Kluyveromyces lactis: one gene and its partner. The protein of the gene in region 1 interacts with the protein of each later gene in a biochemical or structural test. Links are inferred from orthologs where the notes say so. Each region holds a gene or a part of one and is shown on either strand. Other genes may lie near its edges. The genes, in order: VPS74 and SEC27.

Region 1 (7,758 bases):
TTTAAGACTAACAACTTCAAGCCAAAAAAAGTGCCCCCGCCTAATTGCCGTGCAACCGTTGAAAACTTACACTAAGTAAGTTGTATGGAAGCAGGTTACACAAGGGTCATACCAATCCATCATAAAGATTCAATGCCCCTACTATAGATGGATCGACCTTCGATCCGTCTCTAAATTCATCTAACGTAATACAACCATCTTTGTCTTTATCCATAAGCCTAAAGATCTTTTCTACCCTTAACTCTGGAGTAGCTTCATCGTCACTTAGTTTTACCATGTTCCCGATCATTTTATAAATACTTGACACTATGGTCAACATTTCTTCATATGAAATTACGCCATCGTGGTTTAAATCATAGAGTTGGAAAGCCCAGACTAACTTTTCCTCTAAGGAGCCCCTGGAAGTGGTGCTTAATGCTGTGATAAATTCTTTGAAGTCAATGGATCCATTATTATCCTTGTCAAACACGCTAAACACATACGTAGCAAACTCATCTGGCGAGCCAAAGGGGAAAAATTGTTTGTATATCTTGATGAACTCTTCTCTAGTTAGCTGGCCGTTCGGGCAATCCCGTAGAAACCCTTTGTGCCACTGTTGGATCTCTCTGCGATCGAAATACGTAGATTGCTTCAAACTGGTCAAATCATTCTTTGAAAGTGTAGACGTTTTATTTCCCATCTTATTATTGTTATTCCATGGATAGTATATATCTTAACACTTACTGTGATCAAACGCCACTATAAGCTACCTATGATCAGTTTCGGAAAAGATATTGACTAGACCCTGAAGCTCTTCCTCCCTAAATTTTTCAACTCCTCATGCAACATCTTTTATATTGGTTTTTTTTTAATTATGTTTTTCTCTCTTCTGCAGTTTACAGATTTCGTTGTAGGAAAGTGGCTTGTGAAGTCCGTCATAGATGATTCTCTAAAAGTAACGATAGAAACAGTGACAGAGATGACCGTTCCTCTTCTACTTTGCTTGTTGGTGTTCAAGTAACGACTACTAAAATTCTTCAGATGCTCACTATGAAGCGGTGCCACTGATCGAACTATTTTTCCTCTTTTTAACTCAACGACTGCGTTTTAAAGTTCTGGATTTTATGAACCTATTTCAACATTCAAAGGTTGAATAGGTTACATTGAGTTATAAATTATAGTTTACGTAGTACTCAGAAAAACAAGTTGTAAAGCTGTTTCAGTCTTTTCGGAATAATAGCAATGCTGTTACATCAAACAGGGCATAGGTAATTTGAATAGAGGCCCTTTTTGACTCATTTTAATGCCCTTTGTACCGCCATAAATGCGTTTAAATTTAAAACTGTGAGTATAAATCCGTACACCACACACTCATTGTGGTTCTGTCTACAGATTTCCACTATTGACAAATTTTAAAGGGTAACAAAAGAATTAAGTAGAATCAGAATAGTAATTGCATTAAATTTTAAGGAAAACTAGATCTTCAATCCTTTGGCAAATGCATAATTAAAAATATCTATTTGCCACTTCTAGGCTCGTTCTAATACTCCCAGTGATTCAATTCTGATACATTTGACACGCTACAGTATATTGTGACAATTTGAGGATAGCTTGGCAGAGAATAGAATCTCGAATTGATGATGGCTTCACAAGAACCAGCTTTAGAATTGAATGGCGAACAGAGAGATTCTGTTTCGGAAACAGCAGAAGTACTGAGATCTAAGTCGTTGGAATCATTTTCAGATTTAGTAGACGATGGTAAGACGCTTTTGTACGGAGATATTTCGAAAAGTTTTCCGTTCAAAACATGCGATCGAATTTTAGATGACATTAGGATTTCACCATGGTTCTTGAAGAAGTTTGGTTCATCTGTGATGAAACAACCAATGCTTCAGTACTCGAGGGAAAGACAGCAATTGCAACCGTGGAACCTAGTGCATTTAATTGACCAGGTTAATTTGAGAAGCAGATATGATTATGATTCAATGACTTGTCCAGGGAAGAATACCATCAGTGTTATGTTCGCATTGCTGGTAGATCCGAATTTTACTCCTAATGACTTTGATGACATTGACAAGTTTCCTGAATACTTCTTTCATTTGAAGATTACTGTGAAAAGGAGATCATACTTGGAAAATTTCAATAGACACGTTGGGATAACTCATTATCATGTTTTAGAGCCTGAATCTTTACATCCATTCGACAAAAGGGATATCTTTATAATGGAAGAGAAAGACTGTAGATTAGTAGACCAAAGTATATTTGTTTCTGCTGATACTAATAAACTTATACTTGTTGAGATAATAAAACCAGAATTTAATTCAGAGAACCTAGCTGAATATCGAACAGCAAAAATTGAGGAAAGATATAAAAATGCATGTCAAGAATTTGATTTATTGAACCCGGACGATATTCCTAGCCAAGCCGAGTGTTTGAAAACTCTTTTCATGATATTTAAGAACCCATTACAGAGGAAATCTGCTAATAGTGAGTTTAAGATTATTTCCAGGGATAGTGTTGCACTCAACTCACAAATTAATACTGACTGGTTAACGACAATGTTTGATTTCAGTTTGCAGAAGACCGCTGTAGAAGATAATGTCCAATCTGGAGAGGAATATAAGCCACCAGATTTAGTTGATTATATCACAGATTTTAAGGTCAGAGGGATTAGAGAGGCGTATACCAGAAAATCCATGGAGGTTGTTTTAATTGGTAAGCAGTCGATGCTACTTGAAAATGAACTTGGTACTGAAAAGAAGACAGTGGCAAAGTGCTTTTCTAATCAACATTTTAGTGCCAGTCACACATGGTGGTTCAATATTTTGAACCACCAACACATTGAACCATTCCCCTACGACATAAATTACCATTTTATTAACCTATCTGTTGCTTTTAAGTACATCGATAAGGATATCATTAAAAACTATGAAACTCAAATTGCACTTGATCAGGAAAACATCAGCCATTATTTTGATGCTCTCCAATATGTAACAAACGCAAAGGGTAGTTACCAGCTTATTGCTTACTGTGGAAAACAAGATGTTGTTGGGTATGAAGATTTGAATAATGCATTACAGGTATTTGGTTTAGATCCAACTGACATTGACGCAAGCCTCCTTGATGCCAATACGATGATTGAATATTACAATTCTCATCTATTAAGGAGCTCTGATAATCAAAGAAAAGATCTAAGAAATGCCCTACGTGTGCTAGGAAAATATTTAGGTAGTCAAAAGATGTTGTTTTTGGTGGAGTATGAACCATATTATAATGTACAACAAGCTTACACTCTTTTAAAGGTAGACGAGACAGTAGATGATGATATTATCCAAACTGCATATACGATCAATATTGCTGATGCCCCTGGTTTGAAAAAAGATTATGATCGGGCGATTTTTACAATAGCACTAGATAGGCGCTCAATATTTCTTTTGAATGTCTTGACAGATGAATGTCCAGAATTTGCGCAATATTACAACTGCACTGACATATCATACGATGAAGCATTGAACATCATTGAAATTGACATGAATGCAAGCGACGATGTCATCCTTGAAGTTTTTCAAAAGAAATGGAGTCACGGAATTATGACAGGTCCTGATTATCTATTGAAGTTGAAAATGGCCCTTCAGAATATTGGTTTTACTAGAAATAGTAAACTTATCAACCACTTTTTAGACACCGGTATTGTGGACGTAAGTTGTCTTCCTGTTGCTACATGGCCAGCTGGAATCAATAATGTGGGAAATACATGCTACCTAAACTCACTACTTCAATTCTTTTTCACTATCAAACCTCTACGTGATTTTATTTTGAATTATGATGATGACTCTGCTAAATTACTGGATGCGTCTGAATATCACTCTAGAAGAAGAATTGGAGGCAGGGAGGTCAGCAAACAAGAAGAGCTTAGATCGGTCCAGTTTGTCTACCATCTTCGTGATTTGTTCAATGACATGATCCACACAAACAGTAGATGCGTCACGCCCACAAAAGAGTTGGTCTACTTAGCCTTTGCTCCGAGTAATGTCGAGGTGGAGTTCGGTGACGATACTGTTGCCCAGAAAGAACTCATCGACTTAACAACTGACGTCGTCGAAGACCCCACTGATACTACTCGTCACCTAGCGTCTTGTGATGATGATATCATAATGTGCCAGAGCCCGGTTGCGCTCCCCGAACATAAAACATCGTCAGAAGCAGGAACACAGCAATATTCCGTCCAAGTTGCTAAAATCAGTGCGGACCAACTTGAAAATACATTGGAGATCGGAAGACAACAAGATGTTACAGAATGTATAGGTAACGTCTTGGCTCAGCTTGAGATTGCTTCAGAACCTTTGAGCTTGGAAGACGACTTGGAACAGAATGATCTTGTCAAACAGTTGTTTTACGGTAGAATTAAACAGGACTTGATACCAGTCAATGATGAGGCTTCTGTCCGGACAAAATATGAAAGGTTTTTATCCTTATTGGTTAACACCGGTGACCATCCAAAGGATATTTATGATGCTTTAGATTTTTACTTTCAGAATGACTATTTGAATTTGGAGGAGTATGGTGATGTAAAGAGAACTGTATCTATCTCAGAGTTACCTGCGGTTCTACAAATTCAAATCCAGAGAGTCTATTATGATAGAGAAAAATTCATGCCTTTCAAGTCTATCGAGCCGCTACCTTTCGGCGAAACGTTGTACATGGATAGATATATGGCTACCGAGGATCCAAAACTATTAGCAGAAATTCAACAAAACGCAGAATTGAAACAGAAACTTCAAGACTTAAAGCAAAGACAGAGGAAACTACTCTCACAGAACGAAATAGGATTAACTTTAAAATCCTCGCTCATTGAGACCAAAAAGTTCTTACAGTCCGGTACCTTGAAAGCGCACGATATTGATGCGGACAATATCCCCTCATCGATCGCCTACATTGATATTTTAATCAATAACATAGACGAGGAACTAAAGAGCTTATTCAACAAAATTACAGATCTAGAGACAACTATTTCCCAACAGTTCAGCGAATTCAAACATATCGGCTATTCTTTATTCGCCGTTTTCATTCATCGTGGTGAAGCAAGTTACGGCCATTACTGGGTCTATATTAAAGATCACACCAAAAATGGTATCTGGAGGAAGTATAATGATGACTCAGTTACAGAGGTGCCACAATCGGAAGTATTCAACTTCACGGAGGGTAATACGGCCACTCCATACTTTTTGGTCTACGTCCGTGAAGGTCAAGAACAAGAAACTATCGAACCATTGAAACGAATTCTTCAACAACAGGAGTAACCCGTGTCGCTCTTAAAGTGGCATAAATATGATTTACATTATATTAATTAAAAGATAGATCAGTATGTAATGCAGGAATTGGTAAAATTTATAAGATCTGGCGTTCAGTTAGGCTTACTGTGCGGATACTATCTTCGATTCAATATCCACATGTGAGGGTAAATTGATTTTCGCAAGGCAGGCAGGAGTTCTTAATTAGTTAGTTACCTTGATCTAATTTGAAAAAAAAAAACATCAAAATGAAAAATAACTAACTGATTTTGATCAAACCTAGTTTATATCTATGGTGAATGATTTTAAAGATTTACTCTTCGTGTCACAATTGGCTTTAAGTCATTAGGTTTGACTTGAAGGTAGGATTGGAATTCTGTTATCCGACAATTGGACTGTGACTTGTCAAGAAGTGAACTTGCAAAGTTGCACGCCGAAAAAATAGGGTAAAAATTCATCATGTCTTTACAGCGTCGCCGAGTTAATAAAGGTGATACAACGGAATCAATCCCTCAAATAGATAATGAGCATGATCATAAGATTGTATATGACGAGCAAGAGGCGAAACTAAGGGACAACACTAGTGTTCCTAAGTTGACCTTAATGGAGGAAGTTTTGTTGATGGGACTAAAGGATAAACAGGGATATTTATCATTCTGGAACGATAATATCTCGTACGCCCTACGTGGGTGCATCTTGATAGAACTAGCGTTACGAGGTAAGATTAGATGTGTTGATGATCCAGCAAGAAAGAGATACGATGTCAGTGAGAGATTAATTGAAGTCATAGACGGAAGTAAAACTGGCGAGGTCTTACTTGATGAAAGTTTATCTTTAATGAAGAACGATCCACCAACTTCAATTGTCGGATGGATTGACCTACTTAGTGGCGAGACTTGGAATCTCCTAAAGATCAATTATCAATTGAAACAAGTTAGGGAAAGATTAGCAAAGGGATTGGTTGACAAAGGTGTTTTGAGAACTGAAATGAAGAACTTCTTTTTGTTTGACATGGCCACACACCCGATCACTGATACAACTTGCAAGGAATCTATTAAAAGAAGAATACTATCGATACTGGTTTCAAGGAATGCTGAATTGACTTATAATACCTATTTCCCACAAGATGTTTCCTTTAAATATATTAGAACCTTGTCTTTAATCTGTGGTGCTTATGGTGCTAATGTTCTAGAAAATGTCTTGGCTACCTTAGATTACGAAGTGAGAGATACAGGGTTTGCTCGTGCGGATGAAATTCTAGCTCAATTTTCAGAATTTCCGTTCCCACTCGATAAACAAACAAGCACCGGTGTTTCAGTGAACTTAAATAAAGAGATTTCACAGGAATTAAATAATCATCCGGGTTCAGATTTGCAACTTGAAGTTGTTGCTGGAGTTTTTGAGGTCTTTTCACGTATGGACACATTGTTATAAAGTCCATAGTATTATGATTCGAAGAACAGTGTGGATCATTCACATATATATATATACTTGTATCTCAAAAATTCTACGGACAATATCCGACTAGTTCTAAATCACAATGTAAACTCGATTTGAGCACAAATTCCATTACTTGGTAATGATATTCATTCATTGAAATCTGATATGAAAGGCTGAAGTTAGAGCTTCTGGAAAAGACTTGAAATATAATCCTTGGGGTACTTTTGTAAATGAAATTGCTTTACTTTATCGCTTTTGAACAATGATACAAAGCCTTCAGACAGGCCAATTTCCTTACTAAATGCGTTAACTAGTGACTTCCTGGGGTCTTTGGAATCCCCACAAGATTCCCACCAAAATCCACCGTTCAAGTTTTTCTTCTTGATGTATTTTCCCTTGATATCCATGGATTGAACATTGTCATACCCCACAAATGTTCTGGATTTAGGATCAAAGCAGTAAGCTGAGACTGCATTTGAGTCAAACTGTTCCTTGCTACCATCGATCGGTAGTTGATTATATAACCAAATCCCTGGCTCACCCTCAGATCCACCCCCAACTCCGTGATATTTCTTGCCAAGATAATTATCATCATTTGTTTCGACATTGGTGAAACCACGTCCATAGGCCGCCATACCAAGTGCTATTCTACGTGAAGATATGTTATGTCTATCGGTCATAAGTTTCACTGCGGTGTCTGATGAAAGAGAACTGTTTGATATTCTATTACTCAAACTTCTCCTGTGGGAATGTCCCTGAAGGTACAAGTTACTATGATATCCGGTTACATCTGACCATTCTCCATGAAAGTCATAACACATCATATTCCAGATATCAACATATTTTGACATCTCAGATATAGGTAGTATATTTAATTTTTCAGCAAATGCAGGGGTAGCTACAGAAAGTTGGAAATGTGGATGGTCCTTCTCTTCAGCGGGTGAACCAAAAATTTGTCTTTCTAACTGATCCATACCTTCTCTTATTCCTCTCATCATTTCTAAATAAACTATCGGTTCATTACTGTCCTCCTCGGGAAACTCCCAAT
Region 2 (9,172 bases), on another chromosome or scaffold:
ATGTAACACATCATCGAAGTTTCCGTCTAGATGTCGACTTTTCAAAGGTAACCCAAAACTTTCATCCTCAACGTCGAAATCACTTGGATCACATTCTTCTTCCCTATCCAAAACACCGTTCACCTTGAACCAATCACGCTTGTCCCCAATGAACGCGTTTCTAGGCGATGTAGAGCCACTTAAAACCATTTCTTTTCAAAAAATGTGGTCAGCACACGCTACTAAAAGATGCTGTTTACTGATCTCGCAAATCAAATCCAAATAGTAACGATAAAAACACTGGTAGGACCCCTAGAGGATAAATAGAAGCTAGTTTCAAACTCACCAAAACCAAATACCAAAACTGAAGCAAAAACTCAGTTTAACTGATACTTCTTCGTCCCTCAATGCGGAGATACTCCTAAAAACAAACCGCTATTTTCTGTTTGTAGAGACCCAGATTTAAGCAGCAGCAATGTATTGAAAGGATGCTCTAACTATTATTCGCTTGTGGGGCCTTGGTCTTTCTCTTTTACTGAATTTGTATCCATACAGTAGCACAGTCATATATATGTATAATAAATAGTAAATATAGCAAAATTTGGGTCCGAAATTGCAGTGTTTTCAATCACCGGATAAATAGCAAAAAGTTCACTGTAAAGAGGAAAAATGCTTAGATGAAAAAGAAAGCACCGCATCAATAGTTTGTGCGATATAATAATGGGAAATGGACCACAACGGTCCGAGGTTTTGGCTCGAGCGGATTTCTTCTGCGGGAAGTTTGGGTTGTAGTGAAGACGAGTAAACCAGTAATATCCTGTTATTTGAAAACTTTATATATGCATTTTTAATAATAGAGAATGATATAGGAAGCTAAAAAGGCAGTAGTTGTTGCTGGCTTAGTACAATCTGTAAGCTGGACCCATGGTAGACTTGATGACCAAGGAACCGACGTTTTGCCAGTTCTTCTTCAACAAGGAGACCAAGAAGTTAACAGACATCAAGATTTGGTTGACCAAAGTGTCTTCGTCCATTTCGACGTTACCGACGGCGACAGCCAAACACAAGACCTTCTTCAATTGGAACTTGATGGTGGACTTGACGTCGTTGACCTTTTGGTACAAATCATCGTTGTGGGAAACTGGGGTTGGGAACTTACCAGCCTTGGACAATTGAGGACCCAATAATCTTGGAACTTGCTTGATCAAAACTTCCGAAGCGACGAAAGCAGAGTACTTCTTAGCCAACTTCTTAATCAACTTCTTGTTCTTGTTCAACTTCTTCAAATCTTCAACGGACATAGCGTCGACACCACAGGACTTAGCTCTGTCAACATCGAAAGCATCACCAAAGATACAGATGGACAAGTTTGGTCTTGGGCAGACTGGCAACTTCAAAGTACCAGAGAAACGCTTGTCTCTTTGAGGATCGTAGTTCTTCAAACCGACTTGCAATTCAACGGTTTCCAAGAAATTTCTCTTCTTGGTTTCATTGGAGTATTTCAACAACTCCTTGACGTTGTCTCTAACGTGAGAGGAAGTAATCTTAGACATCTTTGATGTTTTATGAGTGGTGAGAGTCTTCCAAAAGTATTTGGTGGTCCGTTTAATAGGCTTGCGACTGTGCTCTTTTAAATTCTAAAACAAACAGAATACGAACAATATAAAAATATATATATCAAGAGAGAATAAGAGAACAACGTCCCGATTGATTAGCTGTTTTCATCATATGTTGTTATTCCAATGTGGTTCAATCTGAAATTTTTCAGTTTTCCTGTAGGCTTTGGCCAGGAGTGGGTACAAAAATGCTGGGACTGTTGAAAATTGGTGCGGTGACTGGGTGTTTATTATTTCAGTGCCAACAATATCCTAATTAGGAAGAATTTCAAATCTTAAATTGTGTCACTATCCTTAACCATTATGCGGTGTGTGGGTTAATGGCTATTCGCTTGCCAAGTAGCATCATAAGGTCCAGATGAGACTTGAAGTTGTCCTCTAAGCTGCATAGTTCGTAGTCCGTCCTGTTAGAGAACTCGCAAAGTGCACGTACTTCCTTATTCACCTTTATTTGTATCTCATCGGTGTTATATTTTAAGGTTTCTCCTGTGGAATATGTACTGACAATCAAAAGTTAAGGCTGTAAAATGTCAAATATGCAATACCTGGACAGTTAAAGGTAGCACGGTGCTGCATGCGAATACTGAATCATTGTAGGGATGAATTCTGTGTTACAGCCTTTGATCACACCTCAGTATAGGTGCACTCCGTTTGTGCTACGGCTAGTAAGATACAATTCTAATGCGCAGAACCGTTGGTTAGCGAGGCAAAAGAATGATCATTTCACCAAGGCTGCAAAGGAACAGCAGTTTAGGTCCAGAGCAGCATTCAAATTAATGGACATTGATGATAAATACCGGTTCTTCAAACAAAATCAGAAAGTTTTAGATCTTGGGTTTGCGCCGGGTGCCTGGTCACAAGTAGCGAGGAAAAGGATCGGTTCAGGTGGAATGATCATGGGGGTTGATTTGTTACGTTGTACTCCGCCAAAGGGAGTGTATTCGTTACAGGCTAACATCCTATCGAAAAAGACTCATGAATTGATCAGACTTTGCTTTGCTCGTCATATCCAGCTAAACAAGCATGATCAATTACATAAGGATCATGGGTATCTCCAGCACATGCTAGAGGAAGAGTTAAACCATTTGAAGGAAACAGAGGAGTATAAGGAGCTATTCTCACAGACAGATATCAGTCAGAACATCGAACGATACCCGGTCGATGTTGTGCTTAGCGATATGATGGCAAACACGACAGGCATACAAAGTAAAGATCATTATATGTCGATGGACTTATGTGATGCTGCATTAATTGTAGCAATCGACCTATTAAAACCGGGAGGTTCATTCACTTGTAAATTATATGCTGGAAGCGAAGATACCCTTCTTGAAAAGAGACTTAAAAAGGTATTCAAAAAAGTCGACAGATTCAAACCCAATGCATCGAGAAATGAATCAAAAGAACTGTATTTCGTGGCTCGCGGGAAGAAAACTGATATAGATAAATTGAAGGTGTTTTTAGAGGAATAATTGTACTTGTAAATATTTTAAACAGTTTGATAGAATCTTCAAGACTCACGGATTGTAATCGTTTAGTTCATGTTAATATACTAGCATATTAATACATTATTTACGGATTATGAATTTATCGTAGTTCATTTTTTCTTTTAGGAGTTGGGGAACGTACAGTTATTCCGCCTTTGCAGCGGGTTTATCATCGTCTTTTGAACCTTGAGGCTCTTCAGATGAATCCTTGAATGCTTCTTCATCTTCATCTTCATCCTTATTTTCCTCGGTATCCAACGCTTTTTCTTCAACTGCGACATCCTCCTCTGACTTATGGTTTACAGGAGCCGCTTCTTTTATGCTCTCGCTTGGTGTATCTAAATCAAGTAAGGTATGTGTATTCGTTGATGGAAAACCTTCTGTCTTACCGACAACTCCAACTCTTTCAGCAATTGCGGCTTTACCGTCATTGATCAAAGTTTGCTTCCATACGTCTACTACAGTGTTGATGGATTCTGCCGATTCCCCGTATGTTAAACTTAATAGGGCAGCTTCTGGCACCCTATTAGATTTTAATAGCAAGTCCTTTGCTCCAGCTATGTCACCTGCTACCCAATAAGCATTGAAAGCTAGGTTGAACTTACCAGAAGTCTCAGCATTCTTTGCCAATGAAACCAACTCTTCCCTATTGTTGAATGAAGAATATAACAAGAAAAGGGATTCTAGATCATTTGCCTTTTCATAACATTGCAAAGCTAAAGTGAAATTGAATTTCTTTAAGGCAGCATCACCCAATTGAATCCATCTGTTCTCACTTTCCTGCTCGGACAATATTTCTTGCGCCAGTGATAGTCGGCCTAATTTAATAGCTAGATCAAACTTCTGCTCAGCGTCTGGTGAAATTTCTAAGGCATCTTCAAACAAATCTTGTCCCTCCAAAAATCTAGAGATCTTTAGCAAGTTTTCTTTTCCTTGAACATTAGGTAGTACGGATGATTTGGCCTCAGCTAGTTCGCCTCTGAGTACCAATGTCTCGAATTCCAAAACATCAATAGATAGTTCATAACCATAAACATGGATATCTTTGTCAGCCAAATAAACTTTATCATCTCTTGGCAAATAACCTAATAAGTACATCTGCTTATCGAAATGTGCAAGATTATAGATTTTACCACCAACAAAGTAGTTTAATCTATTTGTTGGGGTGGTGAAAATGAAGACATCACCAACCCACTTACCTGACGTGATACCCTCTGAAACTTCGTATAATACGTCAAACGCATCTTCTACACCATCTTCATCAATACTTCCAGCTGAAACCGCCTCATCGTAAACATCCTTATTGAACAACAGAGCGTAAGCATTAGCTTCTTCAGCAGAGTCTGTTTCATGGTCTTTGTTGATGATCATAACAAGCTCTCCATTATCTGACCAGATTATATCCTTAGCATCGACATCAATTCTTTTCACTAGATTACCTGATTCCCAATCAAAGAAATATACGAAGCCGTCAGCTTTGACACCTAATACTGAACCAGGGAAGATTTTTTCGACACCGTAATCAAGCGGAATTGACCAAGAAGATACTTGTTTGAAGTTCTTGTAGTAGGTCACTGCACCCGTTTCCGTGATTAACGCATAACTATTAGAATCTGGGCCCCATGCAAAGTCATGGCATTTGCCGAAAGCTTTGTTTCTCCATGCTAAAGCAGTGTACACAATGAATTCGTCATCACCAACAACAGTGACAAATCTACCATTTGGGGAATGCTTCAAACTTTGTGGGAAAACGTCGATCGACCCTAATTCTTTGCTTTGCAAAGGAAGGGCACCGCCTTCTTCTACCTCTTCATTACCTCTAATGATGGCAGAGAAGACGTCAGTGGCTGATGCTTTACCACCGCAATAAACTAACTTACCAACTGGATCCAAAGATAATTTTGGTTGATCATCACCTAGGGATAGAACTGTGAAACCATTGTCGAAACCCGATGCAATGTAATTACGTTTACCAGATGGATGAGTAGCGATACACCAACTTCTTTCAAGCCCGATGTTCAACGTTTTCTCTAGTTTGTATGTATTTGCATTCCAAATCTTGAGAGTTCCATCCTCGGAACCTGAGATAATGATAGGTAAAGTCGGATGGAATACAGCATATGACACGTTAGCCATATGTCCCTCTAAAGTAGCAACATTAGATTTTGTCTGGTAATCCCACACCTTGATGGTACCGTCATCGGAAGTGGTAATCAAATAAGGCTTATCTTGTAACGGGTAATAGTCGACATAATTCACACCTTTAGTTTCATGTGCTTTCAAGGTGAAATTTGGAACATCTTGACCAATCGACCAAACTTTGATAGTGTGATCCAAACAACCGGAGGCAAATTGGTTGGGGTCCTTTGGGTTGAATGCAACAGACATGACGAAGTGCTCATGACCGGTAAAGGTTTGTTGGCAGCCCCAATTCTTTTCCCAGTTCCATAACTTAATAGTCAGATCATCAGAACCTGTCAGAACGAATGGCTTCGTTGGATGCACAGCAATGGAACGGATATAATCAGGATGTGCTTCGAATTCGGTCACTTTTTCACCGGTGTTATAATTATAAACTCTTAATTTAAAGTCATCGGAACCAACAACAACCCAGTTCTTTCTTGCAATGAATCTACCAGCTCTCACTGGAGCATCACATAATGGAATAGATCTCACTTGCGTTTGCGTCTCGTAGTTCCATATCTCAATTCTTCCTGAGTACAAGGTAATTAAAACCCAAGGTTCCTCAGGATGAAAGTCAATGCCCTTAACCCTGTCAGTTCTGGCACTGAGCTTTTTCTAAAGACAAATAAAGTCACCATAGATGAAAAAAATGTTAGTAAAAGCTCTTTCTTTTAGTTGCTGATAAGGGCTGAAGAAATATAATCTGTTGAATCAAAACATAAAACATAAATGTATTGATACCAGAAAAACGCCTAAGATACTTAATATGCAATTGCTAACGTTCAACAGCGATTCTCCGTGATAAAAGCACCTCACAAATTACTCTAGTACACAATGTGTCACATACATTGATGTCAAGTTTCATTGCTAATTTCCTTCCGCTCTGTTGGGTCTCTACCTTCGATGTTTTCTTCAACTAACGTGTTAAAATCATGAATGGATCTTTATTATTCAAATTCCCCTTTCAAACATTTTTTTTTCAAAGCCGTTGATGGACATGGCATAGGACCGGGTAATGTTATTATGATATTGATGTCAGTGTCAGTGTCACATAAATAAAGCATCAACTTGAACCGTTTCGGCTCGAGAGTACTACGAGCTATATGACTTATTTCCCCTAATATTACATCAATCTTCTCCATTTTGTATTCAAAGCTAAAGTTGAAGAATATTACTAATTATTATATTTGTTCGACAAAGGGCGCGATTTAGGCTATTCAGCAGAACAACTGCTATTTGTCTTGATAGTCTCATTTTATTAGAAGCTACAGCAGTTGTGTGGTTTGTTATAGAATGAGTAAAGGTCAACTATGGTTGTTGATTCTCTTTTGTTCTGCTCTATTTTTTGATTTTGCTTACGGGAAAGCACTATACCCTGTTCATACAATTGATAAAGCTTGTGCGGTAGGTTTCAACTCTGCCAACATGAATATGAAGAAAACGTTTGAGATATGGAGTGGGGCAACGATTCCAGTAGATTCTTTGCCTGGAGATACAAAGCTCTTCACTGGATTTAAAGTACACAGGGTATTTTATTTTCACCAGCTATATAAAAGATCAGGGAAAGCTTTGAAGATAACTTATTGTAACGAGGGTAAAGTTGTCTTTGAAACTGAGAAGCAACTTACTAATGATGTAAAGGATTGGAACCAACCGTGGTGTTTTTTTGAATCTAAAGAACAGGAAAATCCCAATAATAGTTTGAAGAACTTTCATTGTTTAAAAATGGCCAGAAGAAAGAAGTATGCGATCCGTCCATTTGATGTTTTTATACCCTACACTTGGGTTGGCGGTTTGTTTTATTGTGATGTGGATATGGATGCCAAACAAACGATATTTCAATCTTTACAGAGTGATGGAATAAGTACATCAAATGCAATGGAATTTTGTTCTTTATCTAATTCGATACCAATTCAGCCATTGTATGCATCGACTTATTCTGATTCCTGGTCAGAAGTTATGGCTAAGAAATTAATCCCATTCATCACTCTCCTGTCAAAGCGAAAAACAAAGACATATGTTCCATACTTACAGACCCCGAATTTGTCTATGGCTCCGACTAACTTTAGTTTGAGCTCATATTACATGAATACAAGTATGTCCCAGATACCTGACTTCAAGAGCAAACTTTCCACAAAAGAACTTCTCATCGATTGGTATTCAAGAAGGAAATCCTCAAAAGAGTTGTCCTGGTTTCAAGAGATTGAAGTTTCAGAAAGATATCATTATGATAAAGAAGATAATTTCAAACTCACGTTGGCAACAGAAAAATTGAAAGATATTATTTCGCCTTTGCTTCAGCTTTCAACCATAGAACAGGACAAACTATCTTTACCTTGGAGGACATTGAATAAAGTGGCCACAACTAAGTTATGGAAAACTTTAAGTATTACGGATAAAATAATGGCAGCAAACCTAACACGAGTACTAGAAAAATGCTCAGTTTTCCTTAACTATTGGGATAATATGCACGTCTCAGATGAATTGTTTGAATATGTGCACCCGTAGTCAAAAATCGATAATACATTTGTTTAATACGATGAAAAGTTTATATAATATACGAGTTTAGAAACGAAACGGCACTCATATTTACAACTTGTAGTAGGAGTTATTGTTATGTTGGAAAATATCTGTTGAGGATGTAGCATTCATATCCGTAGTACTATTGAAATTTATGCTATCACTTATCGAAGTTTTACGATGGGGTGAAGCTGTTGGAGTATCGAGTTGTGTGTCAGTAACAAAATCAAAATCACTACTGTTATCTATTAGTCCGTTTTCTGCCTCAGACACTGCTCTTGTGTGAGTCCCTTTAATAGTTTTAACGATTGGCGTTTCTGATTCTGAGCTAGAGTCACCGGAAAGATGCGAAGCAGTGACGGTAGCTTGTCTATTACCAGCGGTTAACCTGGACGAAGTGGATTTATTTCTCCTCAATGACATTTTACGCAATATCTTATCCTTGAATGAATGTTTCCTACTAATATTAGCTTCCTCTGCTGCCTCGAGTTTTTCATCGTTAAGATTATCTGTGCTTGATTCGGTGTTTTGTTGACCCTGGGTAACTAGCATCTCCTGCCAGTCCCCATCATGTTCTTTAGCGACAGTGCCAAGAGCCATTAGTTCATCAGCGACAGATTTATCCATAGCACCCACATTCGCGGATTGTCTTTGGAATGATGTTCTGTCATCGTTCGCTGGTTTGAATCTGACATCAGGGTTCTTCGAAAAGATGACAAAGCCCACATACACAAGAATTAGAATCAATAAAATCAAAGAGAATGCAGCGTTCATAATGAAGAAGACCCAAGCCATAATCGAGGCCACTGGCTGAGGTTGCCCAAACAAATCAGAGAAAAACAAGAATAGGAATGAGTTCACTAAGGTGACTGTTGAAATCAAAATGTTGAGGATATTTGTGGCACGATCCAAATATGGTTTGAATTTGATGATGGCTGCGAAGTAGGCCAAATCAATAATAAACAAAGCAAGAGCTTGAGTTTTACCTGAAGCTTGCGCGAATGCGATGAACGCACCTTTGACAAAGTTTTGGGCCATAATAACGCAGGACCAATAATAATAATTGGCGGAAAACATAGTATAGAAGAAACCGTATTTGTTCAAGACCCTCTGGTCACCATATAAAATAGCAGCTGGATTGTTGTGTAACTGAATAGATCGTTTAGCAAAAGAAATTGTTCTGAGTGACACATAACCGAGGATACCATAAACCATAATGATGAATAGACAACTCAATACAATGAGAGCCGGCGAATCTCTTTGAATAAATTCCCAGAAACATAAAATAGTAATTTGAATGAAACCAATGTAAATGTAACGCAGAAGAGCACCCTTCAATATGATCTTCCAATGCTTTCTGAAATCGATGAACCTCGAGTTTTTCAACCA

Evidence for each region.
Region 2: the proteins of VPS74 (region 1) and SEC27 form a complex in vitro, tested with the Saccharomyces cerevisiae proteins (2 studies listed by BioGRID). The link is inferred for Kluyveromyces lactis from reciprocal best matches to the Saccharomyces cerevisiae genes VPS74 and SEC27.

What each region holds. Positions count from the first base shown.
Region 1 is NC_006041.1:216,168-223,925, reverse strand, and holds VPS74 (Vps74p), read left to right. Parts: upstream 1-5,729; coding exon 5,730-6,704; downstream 6,705-7,758. Other genes in the region: FRQ1 (frequenin), read right to left, coding at 107-679; ubiquitin-specific protease UBP2, read left to right, coding at 1,617-5,279; CTS2 (putative chitinase), read right to left, coding at 6,890-7,758.
Region 2 is NC_006038.1:167,602-176,773, reverse strand, and holds SEC27 (coatomer subunit beta'), read right to left. Parts: upstream 6,129-9,172; coding exon 6,111-6,128; intron 5,879-6,110; coding exon 3,224-5,878; downstream 1-3,223. Other genes in the region: KLLA0_B02024g (uncharacterized protein), read right to left, coding at 1-189; RPL1B (60S ribosomal protein uL1), read right to left, coding at 879-1,532; MRM2 (21S rRNA (uridine2791-2'-O) methyltransferase), read left to right, coding at 2,195-3,064; KLLA0_B01936g (uncharacterized protein), read left to right, coding at 6,557-7,771; KLLA0_B01914g (transient receptor potential ion channel family protein), read right to left, coding at 7,853-9,172. UniProt on the Saccharomyces cerevisiae protein: The coatomer is a cytosolic protein complex that binds to dilysine motifs and reversibly associates with Golgi non-clathrin-coated vesicles, which further mediate biosynthetic protein transport from the ER, via the Golgi up to the trans Golgi network.